3 linked regions of the Coturnix japonica genome follow. The protein of the gene in region 3 binds, or shares a complex with, the protein of the main gene of each other region. Links are inferred from orthologs where the notes say so. Each region holds a gene or a part of one and is shown on either strand. Other genes may lie near its edges. The genes, in order: CRCP, POLR3F and POLR3E.

What was found.
Region 1: POLR3E (region 3) and CRCP share a complex: the UniProt entries of both Homo sapiens proteins name them as parts of the RNA polymerase III complex. The link is inferred for Coturnix japonica from reciprocal best matches to the Homo sapiens genes POLR3E and CRCP.
Region 2: POLR3E (region 3) and POLR3F share a complex: the UniProt entries of both Homo sapiens proteins name them as parts of the RNA polymerase III complex. The link is inferred for Coturnix japonica from reciprocal best matches to the Homo sapiens genes POLR3E and POLR3F.

Annotation. Positions count from the first base shown.
Region 1 is NC_029534.1:3,785,898-3,791,898, forward strand, and holds the start of CRCP (DNA-directed RNA polymerase III subunit RPC9), read left to right. Parts: upstream 1-2,075; 5' UTR 2,076-2,195; intron 2,196-2,329; 5' UTR 2,330-2,392; coding exon 2,393-2,556; intron 2,557-2,652; exon of another isoform or gene 2,653-2,719; intron 2,720-6,001. Other genes in the region: delta-1 crystallin, read right to left, coding at 175-231, 547-630, 1,562-1,756, 2,479-2,490. UniProt on the Homo sapiens protein: DNA-dependent RNA polymerase catalyzes the transcription of DNA into RNA using the four ribonucleoside triphosphates as substrates.
Region 2 is NC_029518.1:13,402,016-13,408,042, forward strand, and holds the start of POLR3F (DNA-directed RNA polymerase III subunit RPC6), read right to left. Parts: upstream 3,668-6,027; 5' UTR 3,571-3,667; coding exon 3,515-3,570; intron 3,246-3,514; coding exon 3,128-3,245; intron 2,355-3,127; coding exon 2,287-2,354; intron 1,297-2,286; coding exon 1,229-1,296; intron 632-1,228; coding exon 519-631; intron 1-518. UniProt on the Homo sapiens protein: DNA-dependent RNA polymerase catalyzes the transcription of DNA into RNA using the four ribonucleoside triphosphates as substrates.
Region 3 is NC_029529.1:8,345,162-8,350,541, forward strand, and holds part of POLR3E (DNA-directed RNA polymerase III subunit RPC5), read left to right. Parts: intron 1-82; coding exon 83-579; intron 580-3,524; exon of another isoform or gene 3,525-3,538; coding exon 3,539-3,616; intron 3,617-4,540; coding exon 4,541-4,654; intron 4,655-5,380. UniProt on the Homo sapiens protein: DNA-dependent RNA polymerase catalyzes the transcription of DNA into RNA using the four ribonucleoside triphosphates as substrates.

The sequences.
Region 1 (6,001 bases), on a different chromosome or scaffold from region 3:
AGATAAAGGAGAATGTGTCATAGATGGTAGCCTGACACTGTCATTGTAAAATAGCCTTGTTCTATATGTTGGGAAGATGAATCTTCCATTTATCAGAGGCAGCTCAGTTCAGAGATTTCCTGAAATGAGGAGGGGAGGATCACAATGGAAAAAAACAAATAGTTCCATATATACCTGTTCATTCCTGCTTCTTCCAGTCTGCAGCTTTCCAGCTATATCCCCAATCAGCTCCTGAGGACAAGAGAATAACGTCTGTCAGTGCCTCTATTCTGAGCAAGAGATTAATGCAAGAGCAGATATCCTGCCACTCAAGCAAGGGGTTCAGGTTTAGGGTTCTCTTCTGGGGAAGGGGAAGTTTGGGTTCTAGACTTTTACAGCCTCTCTTCCACACAAAAGAGGTCCTGGATACTGTTGGCTGTAAACCTAGTATGTCAGTATAGCAAGATGTTGAGGAATTTCACCATGCTGGGGACAGAGGCATATGTGCTCAATGTCAGGCAGCACTAACTAGAGAGGGAGAGAAATAAGAGGTTAAAGAACCCAAACCTTCAGTCTGCGTTCAATGGCAGTCTGGATATCCTCATCACTTTGGGTCATTACAAGGACTCCCTTAGATGATTCCTCAGAGATCTATAAATATCAACAGAAACACAAGTCAGCTCATACTGATTCCCTGAGTGAGGGGCTGTAAGTTATCCCCAGGAAATACCAAGTTCTGCCATCCAAATGGAAATGAAAGCATTCTCACAGGTGCTCCTGCATTCCTGTTCTTTCAGGCCAAGGCTGGCTGCTTGCTCTATCCCTATATTGTGTATTGCACTTGGTGGAGATTCATCTTTTGATCCTTGCTGATCCTGCACTCCTGGCTATGGCAGGACTTAAGCATCACAGTGAGAAAGTGAGCTGAAGTGGCAGTCATTGCTTTAGTATTGTCCGTAAAGATTTTCCTATACAAACATTGTATAGGCTGCCCATTATCCATGGTAGGTGAGCAACAACAATGAATATTTCAGAAAAAGTGCTTAGTGGCTGGCTCTTCTTCACCCCTATACAATACCGTGCATTGCCTTCTACTAAGTCAGGCAGATGGACACAAAGGGATCCCAAGTGCCATTGGAAAAATAATAGTTCTAATTCATACTGAAACAATTCCTCAGGTACGTTCAGTCTGAAGAGGATGGGCAGGCAGGTTGTGCTGAGCACACCTCACTGAGGCACCAGGTTTCCATAAGCAGCATTCTTGCTGTGCTCAGTAGGGATTTTTGCTGCAGCTAGATGGATTCTAAGCATTTATCTCCTGTCCAGAACATCTGCTAGAGTATCAAATGCAATACACACAGGCTTCTGCAATTCTTCCTGGTTTCAGACAGCATTCCCTTACAGGAATGCACTTTTCCACATGCCTAGTACTAAGAAATAGGATGTGGGGATACAGAAAGATTGTCTTTAGAGCATGGACCCAGGGAGGTGACAACAGATGCTATCGGATAAGCTATTCATCAAAGTACTCTTGTGGGAATTGTTCTGAGCATGCAGGGCAGTTTATGAAAGAAATAAATACCTTTTCCAGGCCACTCAGGATCTTCTCCAGCTCGGTTTTAGTTAGGATGCTAGCCTTCTCCAAGGCTTTGGCATAAGCCATGCTTGCCTGGATATCAACTTCAGTCAGTCTCTGCTCAGTGGATATAGAAGAGCTGAGAATCTCCAGGATGGGATCTGTACTTCCAACAAATCTTCCTCCCAATAGTTTATCCCCCTGAGAGTAATGAAGTTAAAGGACATTCAAATGCATTATTGATATATTCTCCTAAAAATCTCTCAATGCCACGTTCAAGTAAAACTGTGGGAATGTTTTATATATCCCTTATTTATATGTTTTATATACCCTTTTTCTAATATATATATATTTCTATCCCAAATCCTCAAACACTTAGAAATTATAGCAGCGCTGAGCTGCGGGGTTGCTGGTACCATGGACAGCGGGCGGCTCCGATGGCCCTTTCCAGGCAGACGATGGAGAGGAGGAAACCTGTAGGTACGAAGTGCTCAAGTCTCTTTATCTTTTCTCTTTAAAGCAGTTTGTCAGCAGGAGTTGCAAGGGAGGAATCGAGTTGTGAAAGCAAGGTTTTGCAGCCTCGCTGGGAGCACAGCCCTCTGCAGTGAATGGATGGGGTGCTGAAGGCCAGTGCTGGGAGGTAAGTGCTTGGATGGAGAAGAGGTATTGGAATATATCTTAGTATATGGCAGTATATAAGTAGTAGAGAAGCAATTATCGCAGTATATAATTATATAAATAAATTTGCTGTTCACTTTCCATTTAAAATTTCAGGAAAAGAAATTTTCCTAAAATTCAGAAAAAGGCAGAGAGAATCACCCTGAAGCTCCCTATCAAATGCATCTGGATGCTCCGTGGAGCTATCAGTCATCTATCAGAGCACCCCAAGAGCACCCCATAGGAAAAGCAAAGTTTGGCCTCACCTCGGTTGCCATTTCGGACGACGTTTTGCTCGTGTTTGCAGCAATCCTGGCGCCTGGTGCAACCTGTGGAACAGCGAGGTGAGGCTCAGTTCAGCTCTGTTTGGCTCAGCTCAGCTCTGCCCCAGCCCCACAGCAGCACAGAGCCTCCCCAGCTGCCCGCACAGCCCTGCTCACCGTGTCCACAGCTCAGCCCTGGCTGGTCGCTCTGTGCTCTCCGGTCTCACTGCCCGGCTTTTACGTGCCTCGGAGCCTGGGCTGGAAGCTCGTCACGCCCCATTGGGGCGGGGTGTCCCCTAATCCAGCCCAGCTCTTCCCCTCCCTGGCCCCCCTCATGCTGCCCACCCCTTGTCCTGTGTTTGGCCACTGCTCAATCAGGAAAAGGTCAGGGAGAGGTTTCCCAGTGGGTAGGGTAGCTGTGAAGAAGAGAGCTGGTAAAGATGCCCTCATGTTGCTTGTTTGTAAAGTTATTGGTGTAAGAGCACCTGTAATGGGAGATTGTCTGCTGTGTGGTTTCAATGGCAGGTCATCTCCTTGTCAGGGAGTATCGTTGTGCTGAAGGAGTCTTTTTACTCTGGCATCCCCCTCTATATTGGTATGAATGTACTTGGGATGTTGGGTGGATCAACAACACTCCATCTACACTGCCACCAACACATGAGAATTAAACATCTGGGAGCTAATTTGTCTCCAGTTCCTGTGCAGATGAGCCTTTTCACCCCACCCCACTTCAGCTTTCAGGGTTTCTGCTGTCACCAATTGCATTGGGTCAATCTTGAGAAGTTCCTGTAAGCATGAGACTGAGGCTGTGGGATGTGAGTTTAGTGCAGTGCCACAGCGGTCACTAGGTCTGCGGCCCTGGCAAATAGCCCACGTCTTAACTCCCATCAGACTCTGAATATTATGGTTTTAAAGAATTGGTTAAAAAATGGGAGCGTTGGGAACATCTGTTCACAAAGCTGCTCCCCAGCTCCAGTTTCTCTTTAGACGCAATGCATTTCTGCTCTGAAAAAGCACTTGCTGGTTTCCCTTACTGTGTGTTGCTACAGTGTAGTATGCTTCCATCTGCATGGCACAGACCTTTGGCAAAGCTCAGGAAACATATTCTCATTTCCTTGTCCCCATTTCTTCCTTCCCTTTAGCTGACTGTCTGGTCTTTTTTCTTCTGTTCCCTCAGTTCTTCAACTTGTCTCCTTTTTCCATTTATTCCAGGGCATCTACACTTGGAAACTGCTGAATTGCTTTGTGATCACATCCTTCTTGCTTTGAAATCCATCATTTTTTACTACTTTTCTTGTCTCTTTCACCCTTTACGAGTGTCCTTGTCCTTACTCCTGGCTTTGATAGGAAATTGTTGTTGTTTTGGGAGAATCGTGAGCATTCAGTTTACAACCCAAGTGTACCCAGTACAGAGAGAATCTCTATCTCATGTTTGTTATATCACTGTAGGTTAACACACAGCCTGAGTGAGGATTACATGTCTTTCTGCCTGAGGATATCCAGCAGGATGTGCCCAGAAGGAAAAAGGGGAAAAGTAGAGATCCCAGGTGCCCAAGTGAGATGAGAGATCAGTAACACATTGTCTTCATGTCAAATATTTGTGGTGATGTATTGCAGGTTTTGGCCTTGAAATAAGTTGTTCTAATGGATGTTGTGGAACTAAAATCTGCAATCCACATGCAGCCGGGTATTAATCAACAGGAACGACTTAGCTGAATTTCTGGTGCTTTCACAATCTGTGCCTTGACCACAAATCTAGTTTTGTGATCAAGAAGCCTTCTGTATTTGCTATCAGGTGATCCCACTTTTATTAATCTATGCCTGGAATTATACATGGCAAGGACATGTATAATTCCGCATGGGATCCGTCAGTGTTATCACTGTGCACTAAGCAACTTCACAGAGATTAGTTTGTGTACAGAACGCTGCCTCAGTTTGTATTTAGGAGGTTATTAATTCTCTCTTTTCCTGTTTTTAGATGAAACACTTCATACCGATCTCTTCTGTACAGCGGGCAACATAGAATACAGTTGTAGTAGGAATGGAAGTGAAGCTGTAAAGCCAATCAGAAATCCTTAATGTGATTGAACAAACAGATGACTTAACGATGCTTGGGGCTGGGGAGGTTGTTTTTGAGGGAAAAATAGTGAAATAGCATTGCAGAATAGGTCTCTTCTAACAAACACTGGAATGTATCCTCATCATTATTATCTTCCCAGCTGACATACAATGAAGTAGTAAGAGTGAATCTCCATTTTGCGGCATGGAGAGGATGAATTGAATATATTTTAATGTCCTCTAAGATTTGGATTTTATTTGTACTTGCTTTTGCAGTCACATTCACATCCTTCCTATTTACACTGTTTATTTTGCTTTTGCTGGAAGAGCGCAATACTTGCGGAGTGCAGCTCTGAAAGCGCTTTAGTGGTGTAAAGAAATCCTCTATTCATAGTTTTCATAACTGAGGCTGGGGCAACAAACAGCTACAATATATATTCTTTAAAAACATTCTTTTTTAGTGTCATTTTGGTTTAGAAAAAGGGGGAAAAAAAGCGCTGTGGGCTGAACATGCTGGTTAAACGCACCGTCAGCTAGACTGGTGTGAAGCAGTGCTGACATTTTTTTGTTAAAAAACAAAACAAAACACAACCACCTTGTTTAATGAATTTTGAATGTAAAAGAAAAAAAAAGACACTATAGGGTGATCAGCGAAATGCTGAATACAGTAAACATCTTTCATGACAAAGAATACAAATACCCCGCAGATCTGCTTTCAATAGCAATTGCTAGGCCCCCTGCTTTCAATAGTTAATACCGAGGCCCCTCTCTACCAAGCCTTAGTGGTAACAATCACAAGCCAATGCTTAAAATGTTGACATGCTAAGCACATTTAGAAAAACCTATGTCTGCATTCCCTATGGATGGTGTAGCATAACTGTCTAACATCTAATGTGCAGCAATTAAAAACAGAGTTCAGTGAGCTAATCATTCCATCTCTCCTGCAAAGTTGTGTGTAATGGTTATTCCTCTCTCTTAGAGGTTCCCCTCACATGATGTCAGTGGACCCGTAGCTGATCATTTATGTACTTCAACCCTAACAGGCTGCATGTGTCTGCTAGGAAGAATTTAGGAAGACTATTTCTTTTGGTAAGAAAAAGGTTGAGGGCCATTGAGAGAAGCATTTGTATTATATTCATCCTTTCTAGCTGCTGGGATTGGGCACTGCCATTGTGGAACAAATTGGAGTAACACTGAACATAAAGATGATAAATTGGTGTTGGAGGAGAAATACAACAAAAGGGAAATATAATTAATATGCTGAAGATTTTGAACCCGTATCTACAGAGAGCGAGGAGAGGCATGTAAGGATTCATAGACTTTTAGAACAAAAGTCTGGAAATTTAGTAAGGTCTGGAAATAACATTCTCAAGTGAAAGCTTTTTAATTCTTCTTCCTTTTAGTCTAGATGGGAGATGGTGTACAGGCAGTTTCATGGACAAGGTTAGAAACATGGCGAAGAAGTTGC
Region 2 (6,027 bases), on a different chromosome or scaffold from region 3:
GGATTGATGTGTACAGCTCCTAGATAAGATGGACACACATTGCTAGTATGCAACAAGCCCTGAGCTAGAAACCAGGAGAGTGCCCAAATAATATGCACATGCCAATGATTTGTAATGAAGCAGGTAAGGCAGAGCAGGATGCTGCATAAGCATTACAACAGAATAACAAAAGTACTGAAAAAAATAAGCCCTACTCTCGCATGTGGACTATTTGTACGTAAGATATAACAGCAGTATGAATGGTAATAGAACAGTATATTAATGGCGGTGTATTTATTACTTATATTATTAATTTGTTTGCTATAGTATGTTTATTACTTATCAAACATGACAGCCTCTTGGATCTGGTACAGCTCAAACATACATTGTAAATGTTAAGAGTAAAATGTTGGTCCACATGCAGTGACAAAGCTGGAGGCAGAACAAGGTTTCTCTGCTCCCTGTTCCACGTTCAAACATGTACAGCATGTAGCAAACATTTGGAAATGTTAAAAAGCAACAAGTCAAAAATTACTCACTGCCACAGATTTCACTGCTTTAATTAGTTTCTTGCTTTCCAAGTTTTTCAATATCTTGTTGATCTCCGTTAAAGGCAAATTACTTTTGTATCTGATGTCCCTGCTCCAAATACCTGTTAAAGAAGCACAGAAATGAACAGAATTAATTAGGAGAACCAGGTATTTGTTTCTGTAAGGATTAACAAGCCAAAAGTCATAATGTTGCCTGCCAGCCAAAGGCTGCATCTCCAATCCTACCACCCTCAGCAAAAGGGAGGGAATGGGAAAAAGAGGATGAAATAAAAATCAACTGACAAAGCAGAAGAAAAACCTCACAGCACAGTCACCATCTGTATCTCTGGGAGCTCTTACATGTACACAACATTTGGCCTCACAGGAGATCCAGGAGACACAGAATTTTGTTTTTAAAGTGATGAGTATTTTGTATAGATTCCCCAGTTTCACAGTCCCATCAATAAGCCATAATTCATATTCTGAAACTTCATATTTTGAAAGAGGTCCCAAAAGGTCAGACCAGATAATTTGTTATTTTAATAGAGAAATATGTCTTCCTCTGTTTTTAATAAGTGGCACGTGGAACATTAGCTACAGACTTAGGCGTGCTCTATATCTGATATCTGCATTGCCTGGACAAGAATTTAAACGTTTGGACAGGAAAAGTTCCACAAACAAAGCTATTACCATTCCCCATTATAATTTATTTAAACTACCTTTGTTGCCTGCATCTTCTATGATTTGGTAAACCAGCTTCTCTTGATTGTCAGAGCCTTTCATTTTACTGTGGAGTAGAAGAGACAACGGGATTTTTTGGGGTAAGTTTGAAGTTTGAAAGAGGGTGGATTTATTTTAAACCAAAAACAAATACTATGAACAGAAACCACAACACACAAAGGGAAAAAGAAGCCCCACACAATAAACCAGCCAGTGGCAAATAAAATACATGACACCAAACCTCTGTGGATCATTCTGCGATTGCCAGTGAAAAGCCACAGTAAAGAGAAAACAGCACAGTTGAAAAAAAAAATAATATTAGTCATTAAAAATGAGGGTAAGCAGGAAACACTCAACTTCTCTTAACAAAGAGAAGTTTGGAGTCACATATTAACACAACTGCATAAGGTCAAACACTCAGCACATAATTCAGGACCAACTGTCGCAACAAGGGGACAGCAGAGGCTCTACAACGTGCCTTCTCACTGGTCTCAGAAAGCCTCAGCTTAGAAGGTTTTTTTCTAATGCAGTGGAAAGAGAAGTTGAGATGCCTGCATGGAAGATAATTTTGAAGGACGTTTCTTTCTAGAAGTAAATCCAGGCATCTCCTACTCAGCTCCACACAGACATCGCAAAACACGACTTTATTGAAGGCATGTTTTAATAAATCAAATAAAAGAGCACAAACAACATATCAAGCGGCCTTCTGGAACTGCTGTAAGTGCTGGAAAAGACCACAGAACGATACTTATAGATGGTGTGGTCAAGCTTCAGCTGGCTTTCATCTGAGCATTCGCATCTGCTCATAGAGATCACTTTGCCAGATGAAGAATTCCACTAGTAAGCTACAGCTGGAGCCCCATGGGAGAGTCTGTGCAGCAGGAATCATACAACAGTTGACAGAATTGGCTCAGGGGGGTTAAGCGTATCAAGCAAGTAAATTCTGTAATATCTTTGTTACAGAGCCCATGTTAAATTCCTTGCTGTGTTCTCAGCAACGCCGCACATCAGCTGCAGAACCGCATTCAGATATTGATTGCGTAAGCACAAGGCTCACCTTGCATTTTGAGACTCTTTGATTCTATACAGGAGACCTGTGCTGCTCCTGAGAAGGTCCAGTTGCCCCTGTGGGAAACAGGCACAGCACATTAACTTCCCTTCTAACAGCTTCTTTTCAGAACACGGCAAGAAAATCTCCTTAACTTGTAAAGAAAATAAATGTACTTTGTATCAGCTGAATACAGAAAAGGGAAAAACAACATTTCTAACTGCTAGACACAACAATAACCCTGAGGATATTATTCTTCCCCTCTGACCATGCATTTATCATTAGCTGTCAGAAATAACAAACACAGCTCCAGCCTCTCCCCACAACACTGGTGCACTTCCCGTTGTTTCTCCTAACGTTCACCTTGGGACATGGAGCTCTTGTATACTTCCCACCAAAGTGCTCATTCATATGAGCATCCAGATATCAAGTGAGAGCTCTGCTGGACAGGAACACTGAACAATTCCACAAGTGGAAGAGATGAGGGCTCTTATTTTGTTGGTTATGTTCTCAGTTCTGTAGATAACTGGAAAAGTGTCAGCCAAGTTTGAGGATGCCTCATGGAGGCTGCTCACTCACACAACAGGTGTTAACTTTATCTTACAGAATGGAAACTACATTTTGAGGTATGTTTTAATAGATGATGGTGACCGTTATAAGTGGTTGTGGTGGTCACAAGTGAGAACCACAATTAAGCTGCAAAAACTGCCAGTTCTGGCAAATGACACTAAATCCAAGATGAACTTCCCAGCCCTGCCCAGCTGGGTGCCACCACGCAGCCATTGACAACAGCCCATTGACATCAAGAGCCTCAGGATGAAGCAGCTCGAAGGGGTGTGGAACGTCGTACCATGGAGAGCAGCCTGTTGATGGCCATGGCTCGCTGCTGGGCCTCCATGTGCGGCATGTCATTCTGGATCACCTGGTCTGTGATGCCGTGAGGGAACTGCTGGCACAGCTCAATGATCCTGGGGGAGGAATGAGGCGGTTTATGAACCAAAGGCCGTTGTGCACAAAACCAGCCACCTGAAAGGCCATCAGAGCAGGGACGGAAAGGAAAGAGCAGCTCAGGAAGAACCACTTCTCAGCTCTTTCTGACAGCGCTGCTGCTCCACTTCACTTTTGGGCTGCTCTCAACATCAACGCACCAGGACCCACCAGGACCCACCGCTCCCCGCCTCCCCAGCACCACGAAGCCTCTCCCGATGATTTCGGGCCAGGGCCCGTCCCAACGCACCTGCTCTCTATGTCCACGGGGTCGGGCACCTCCGGCTTCACCTTCACCTCCGCCATGGCGGCGGGCCGGGCTGCGCGGGGAGATGCCGTCACCAGGAGCGGAGGGGATCGGTTACTGAGCGGCACGTTGAGATGACGTTATTTGTACGCGCCGGTGCCGGTTGCCGAGTAACGGGACGCGTGGGCTTTGTCGACACCGCCTGCTTTGTGGTGGTTGTGGTTGTTGTTGTGGTTGCTGTTGTTGTTGTGTTTCAGGGATCGCAGAGCAGGATGGCGGCGGGCTCCGTGTCTGTGCCGCAGCTCATTCCGCTCCGGGTCCCTGTTCCAGGGCAGGCCAAGCACCGCATCGACAGCGGCACCCGGGTGGAAATCAAGTCAGGTACGGGCTGCGGCTTTGCCTCTGTCAAACCTCCTCTCAAAGCGTTTGAGCCTTCCAGCCTCCGTGTTGGCTGCAGGTAACTGGCCTCAGGAACTCCACCTGCCATCAGAGGAGATGGTTTATCTGTTGGTAGAACAGTGTTTTCCTGCAAAACCACCGTGCGGTGACTTTATGAAGAGAAATATTGCTAATCGTGACATCGCAGCCATTCAGTGTCAGTTCTTCATGGGAGAAACGGTTTTGGTTCTGAACTTTTATGCAATTGCTTCATTGTGCTTATGTGAGAAAGTCAAGTACTCACACAGTGCTGAGTATCTGCAGGGTTGTACAGATATTTGTGTTTTTTTCCAGCTCCTGCACAGTTTGGCTAATTACTTTCTCTGTGTTGTTCAGATACACCTGAGGTCTCTATTTATTACACTTTAGATGGAAGTAAACCAGAACTTTTTAGGAAGCCTGGCTATGGAGAGCGTAACACTTTTAAGTATAAGAGTCCTATCACGTTACCAGTCGGGAAAATAACAGTCAAGGCTCTTGCAGTTACCAAGTAAGTATCCTGCTTTAACTTAGTTCTGTTTTAGAATGGACATCTTAACTTCATGGTTAGAAGAACACACAAGGAATCCCCAGTCCAGCTGGGAATCTGTTCCCCACTATTAGCACCTGCATGTAGCCTTTGCTTGTATCTGCATTGGAATATGACAACATTATATTCCCTGTGCAGGACATGCAAACCCTAGGTCTGAAGGTATTTTCATATATCACTATCTGAATTAACAGTTCTTTCCAGTGTTTTATTAAGACATTTCCAGGTGCACCAAATTGATGCTCTGGAATGAAAGCAAATTCTTAATTAATAGCTTGTACATTTGTGGCATTTTAATGTTACTGCTGTAATTTAGCAAGTGAGAAGGTAGAGAAGGTAGATAAGAGAAGGACAGTTGATATATCAAATTGACAGTGTGCTGTCTGCTGCTTGACTGCCCTTTGTTGCCTGCAATGCTGGCAAACTAATTACTCCAGAAAGCAGACACAGCAGCATCAGGAGTTAGTTTCACAGGTAAAAGATGTTGAAGAATTAAAGTATCCATCCGTATGTTTTACTGTTAACTTCTTAGTGTGCACACTAACTTAAACATAATAACAAAACAAAGCAGAGGTTTTTGAGAGTATTTCCCAGGACTGTGCTTACTCACTGAAGTAATGACTTGCAAACTTGGAAGAGATGTTCCAGACGATCAACCGTGTTCCCCCGTGGTTTCCTTTTCATTGCATGTGGTTTTATGGCATGTTCAGAACTTTGTGATCATTGACTTCCAGGGACTGCAGGGAGAGTGCTGTTGTGACAAAGGTGTTTCTAGTAGAGTACAAGCAACCAAACGGCCTCTTCTCTATGGAAGATGATGACAAGAAGTTCCTAAAAGATGTCACAACACAGGCAAGTTGTAGCAGTTGCAATCTCTTGTCTGAATACAGAAGGTTGTGTGTATGATAGTGCTTAGAGATTAAACCTTGACTGCCTGCATTTTTTATGTATTTTATTTTCCCTGTTGCTCATCTTTGCAGCCTTGGCCCTTTTTATAAAGTGAAATTTTAAGGGAACACGTCTTCTTTCTTTACTCACTGCTCTGTCATGATCAATTCAGGTCAAATATATTTAAAATACATTTATCCTCCAAGCTTTTCAAATGCTTACAATGAAAAGAAATACCTCAATGATATGCCTTTAAAATCGTAACAAATAACTATAGCTTCCTATAACTATAGGAAGGATTAGAGCAAAAACAAGCAATCCTAAGTAATCCAAATGAAATCACTTCTTAGGAGAAGGAAGATGGAACATTTACTACAAAACCAAGGCAAAATGGAATGGGTGTGGAAATCAAGCCTGCCTGGACTGAAACACCCCGGGATGTTCAAGGTATGGTATTACTGCAGGAAGTCAGAACAGACTTTGGGTTTTTTTGTTAGCTGAGAATACAGTGCAAAGTTTTCATCTTATGTCATCATTAAAATACAGGGGAATCTAAAAAACATCTCAGAAGTCAAAACATCTTCTGAGGAGTCCAATTTCCATTTCTCAGCACTGCAAGCAGGGAACAAAAATTGCCTTCTATACTTACCAGCCTGCTTAT
Region 3 (5,380 bases):
CAGTGAGTCATTCAAGCAGCACTCTGCAAAACTGGAGTCTTGTTTATGGTGGGATTTTATGCTACATTTCATTTGTTATCAGGCAATCCATTGCTGGTTTCCGGGGAGCAAAGAGTCAACATGGCAAAAGCAAAAGTCAAGCAGAACTATGGGCAGCTGGACAAGGAGTTCCAGAAGCAAAAGGCAGAACTGAAATCAAATGATGCTTCATCTAAGATAGATGTTTCCAATATCCGCATTAAAGAGGAGCCTGTGAGTGACGAGGAGCCCATGGACACCTCTGTGTATGAGGGCCTGAACAACGGAATCATCAATGGCCTCCACACGGAGGAAGACTCCACGGACACCTTAAATGGCCACTTGCCTGGAGGCTGCAGCGATCGGGTAGCCCAAGAACTGAAGGAATTTGTGTCCTCAACGTTTAAGAAACAATTTGTGCTCACCTTGAGTGAGCTTAAACGGTTGTTTAACCTTCATTTAGCCAGTCTGCCTCCAGGACATATATTGTTCAGTGGCATTTCAGACAAAATGTTACAGGACATGGTGTTGGACGTTGGCTGCAAACAGATTTTGGTGCCTGTAAGTATTTTTTTTTTCTTTTTGGCACTCTGGGGAGGAGGTGGAGGGACACAGCTCCTTACAGGAATGCTGCTGGGATAAAACACACCCAGCAGAGCTCTCTGGGAAGCAGCAAACTATATCTGCAGAGTTCTGTTTGTCGCTCCTTTTCCTCCTGGGCTGTTCAGAGGAGCTTTTGTTTGTCTTCATGGAAATTACGTGTGTGACTGCGTGAGTCGGAGCCAGCAGGTTGCTGAGGAAAGAAAAGGGAATTTGGCATCATGGAAAATAGCCCAAAAGGAAAATAATTTCACAAGACATCTGGTAGTGCTGATTGGTTTCCAGCAGGAACCTGGGAGTCAGGTGCTGTTAGTGAGAGAGACAAGGAGACGTGTGAGCTGCTTGGGAGAGCAGAGAGCAGGCAGGGTGGGTAGAGCCTGGAGCACAGGAGGTGAAGTGACCCTCACACCTTGTTTGGGCTTCAAGGAAGCAGAAGGAACACATTCAGTGGTGTGCAGAGCATGTCCTGTGGCACCTGGAACCAAGTGACAGATGTGAGGTGCCACACAGGAGGCCACTGCTTTTGGTGCTTTCTGCTTTCTCCCCTGACAGATTCCAGGTCCCTGGGCAATGCTTGCCTGCAGCTGCTGATTAGTGCTGGAGAGACTCTCGTTGTACATGGTATAGGAAATGCACTTGTCGTGCTGGTGGTAAACAGCTTAAGTCATCGCTGCTGTAGTGAGTCTGGGATTTGTTTGCTGGAGACTGCTGTACATTTGAGTTCTGCTGGTCTAGAACTTAATGCATAATTTGACATCTGCAGCAGCCTGCATAAGCCTGTACTGCTGTCAGAAAAGTAAGTCAGCCCCCAGGCCTCTGCCTCGTGCTGTGGGCTGGCTGTGCCTTTTGCACGAGTTTATACACTTTGCTCTCTCTGCTTGTTTCTCCTGGACAATTTTGTTTGAACCTGGTGGGGCTGCCTGAGCTCCTTGGGAGTCCAGGGGATGTTTTGCCTGAGATTTTGTGGTTACTCATTAGTTTTCTGTAATTGAAACTGCTTTGGTGGTAAAAATCAATGATCTGAGGTAACTGAAGTGATGTTCTGTGGTGGGTGAAGACACTTTTGGCTTTCACGTTGCCCTGTTACAGAAAATGTGTTGCTGAAAACAACAGTGGAAACCTTACTGGTGGGGTGTAGGATTTATTTATAAAGCTGAACAGCTGCATCTGAGGTACCAGATAAATGGTGCTTGTGGGGCCTCAGAAGGCACTCCAGCTGCAAACAGGGGCTGCCTGCACGGTGCTGTGCTTTGCTTGTGCTTTGGAGCAGTGGCAGCAGTGAGAGGGTGCCTTGCAGTTTGCAGAGTGAAGTGAACTCAGGGAGGCTCTGTGTGCTCTCCCAAATAACACCATGTCAGTTCAGAAGCAGTTCCCTTTCAGAGCCAGCAGTGCAACTTCAAGCTGTGCTCAGCATCTGACTGAGGCAGCAGGTAGTGCTCAGGTCTGCCCCAAGCAGGTCTGCTCCTGCAGCCCTGCATTGCCTGTACTGCAGCTTGTCAGGAGGGAGGCTGATGCCAAGGTGTTATCTGTGCTGAATGAAAGCACAGGAGAGTGTTCCTCTGTGTGCACCGTGTCCTTATGAGAAGAGGAGCATGTTGGGTGTCGCCAGCCCAGCAAACCTGAATCCTGGCTCTAAAGCAGATGCACAGCCCTGCTATTTACCAGCTGTTTGCACTAAGGTGGAGGCAGAGCTGCTGACCCCAGCAGGCAACTCCTGCTGGACACAGCGTTTCCCTTTGCCAGGAGATCAGAGGCAGCCCCTGAAAGGAAGGGCTGAGCTCTCCCTTTGCACTGCAGTCCTTCAGTGTGTGTGGAAAGCTGGGAAGAAAGGTGGGGAGTGTACTGCAGAGAGGAGCTGCAGCAGTCAGACAGGCCTGTTGGCTTTGTGTGGAGGACTGATTGAGGTTGGCAGGGCGGTGGTTAGCGTGGAATGAATGGTCGGTGACAGACAGGAAAGCACACATCAGGGGGGGGAAGTATCCAGCATTACTTGTTAGTCATTGCTCCAGGGGAAATCATTAAGGCAAATGGACATGATTGTATTTTTGTAGGAATTCGGAAGAGTTATATCCCTTCCTGCATGCAGAAACACAAGGCCTCTGTCTCAGAAAATACAAGTGGTGTTCCTCTAGCATGGATCCTGGTAGGGACAAAAACCACTTCAGTTTGGGAGCCTGAAATGCACTGATGTGTGGTTCGCTCTCCGTCAGCGTTCAGTCTCCAGGGGTCCCGTGGGCTGCCCCAGAGATCTCACACACAGCAGAAGCACAGTGCTGGTTGGCTGTGCTGCCTTGGGTTTAGTGGAGCAAATTCCAAATATCTAAAACTTGCCACTGGAGACTTCAGAACCTCCAGAAAACCCTGCAGTGCACTTCGTGCTTAATTGAATTCTGCTTAGGGAAGTCTGGAGACACAAGATGCTGGCAGGAACAATTCCTACGTCGTGCCATGAGATACTGTCTCAAGTCCACACCCTGAGATTATCACGGCGCTTGGTGGTTGTCCTCCCTTCCTCCAAGTTCCCATACAATGTCACAGGATCCCCTCATACAGCTCTGACGTGACCATCACTCCAGTGTGACCAGAAGCATTGCTGAAATGCTGTTGGGAATGCCATGTGTACATCAGGCTGCCGGAGCACTGGCCACATTCCCCAGGCAATATTTACCCCTCACCTGGGGTCTGGCTGCTTCAGCATCACCCAGAGGAACAGGTTGGGTGGGCTTTGTTCTTCTATTGCAGGCACAGGCGCTGCCACAGCACAGTCACCTCCCTGAGCCTGGGGTGGGAGAGAAGCACTTCTCATTAAATGGCCACAACATTTTGATTCAGTAATAGGTGTCAGGGGATACTGTATGATAGAATCATTAAGTAGAACTCATTAAATAGATAGTTATTTTTAACAGCCTCTTGTTCTCAGTTTCCTCCACAGACTGCTGCTTCACCAGATGAGCTAAAGGTTTATGCACTTTGGGAAGCCGGTGACATTTATGATCAGGTAAAGACAGAAATAAGTGATGGTCCCAAACACATTGTTACTGAGGGTTTGGCATTGCTTCACTTTGCATTTCTGGAAGCAGTACAGCAGTTTTTTCACCGTTCCCTAAGGAAGACTCAGAGGTTTCAGTGCCAGCCAGCTTCAGGCTGAGAGAAAGCTCGGGGTGGTTGTCACCATATCAGGAACAAGTTGTTGGGAACAGAAACTGAGACACTGGTAACTAAGTGGCATGTAGATACTATTAATTGTATGAAGAGAGAGGTTCCGTGATGCAGGTCTTAGGCTGGGATCCAGTCAAATTATTTTTCTTTTTTTACTAATGGTAATGCAGTGGTAATGCAGCAGTAGTGCAGTGTTAACCAGTGGTTATATGATGATGATGGAACATGGTGTATCTGTTTATATTTAGAAAAGGAAATGATTACAGCATATGCAAACATCTCCTGAGTTTTATTTCTATCACAGTAAGTGAAGTGGATGGAAAGGCATCTTAACAGAATGTGGACGGGCAATGTAACTGCTGTGCCTGTGACCTAAATAATTGTTTATAGGAAAGTCTCAAGCATTGTTCTAGAGAATAAGCAGCATCCGACCTCCTGGCTGGAGCAGACCACGTGAGCTGCCTGGGAAGCGCGTGAGAGGAAAATGTCATAGTCCCTTCTTTAGTATAGGTTTGTACCCATGGGGGCACCTGGGGTCACAGGATGGGGCAGATCTGCTCATGAGACATGGAGGGATCCCTGCAGAGCTGCAAAGTAACGGGAGGACACCTAATGAGAGCAGGCTGAAATGGGACAGTTTCAGGGTTACAAAGCAAGAATACTCTATTGAAGCTCAGTGAATGTTATGTACGGATTAATGCACAGATGGTTTGTTTTATAGAAAGTTAAAAGTAATTGTGTGTTAATGATTCTTTGTCTAAAGCATCGCCAAGTTTTGCTTGAAATTTTTTCGAAAAATTATCGAGTGCGCAGAAATGTCATTCAGAATCAGCTGAGTCAAGACCTGAACAAGCAGGAGGTGGATAGAGTGTTAAAGGTAAGTTCTGCTCACTTGGGGTTTTGATTCAGTTAACGCATGAATTTTTAATGCTTTGGTTTAACTGAAGGATCATGTATTGCCTTGAGTTGACAAGTGATGGTAGAACAGTCGCTGTGGGAATGCAGGCAGGGCTTGTTTATCAGCCTGTTTTCTTCAAAGTAACACTCGTCTCATTCTACCTTGTTTCTCTCCAAAGAGCAGTGATTTTGACTCCCCTGTTATTTGGTGTTATTGCAGCAAATCTTTGTTCTTCCCTTTGGACCAGAAGGGAATAGAGCACAGTAAATGTCATACTTGAGAGTTATTTTTAAGTAATATGGAGTTAAGCATTAAGACAGTGGGAGTGTTCTGTGTTCACTGAGCTGACTGTTGTTGTTTCATGCTGAAGAACACAGGTGTCAGATGTTCAGAAGGAAATGCATTATATTCTGTAGTAGGACTTAAAGCAGTGTAGCAAGAAAAACCCCAAGCAAAACAAGTACAGAGTCCTGCTTAGCACATCTCATAGTGAATGTTTGAGTCCTTTCATCTCTGCCTTTGAAGATGAACCATTTACTTTCTAAACAAGTTTAAGGTATGAGGTATGGACCTCGCAGGCTGTGATTGACAAAGGAGAAAGCTGCCAGCTCATGTAGTACTTCAATCACTGTTGCTGGGCCTTTGCTCACCATCACCCACTTCAGTGAGACAAGTGCTTAAGTACTTTATTACTCTGGGATCTGT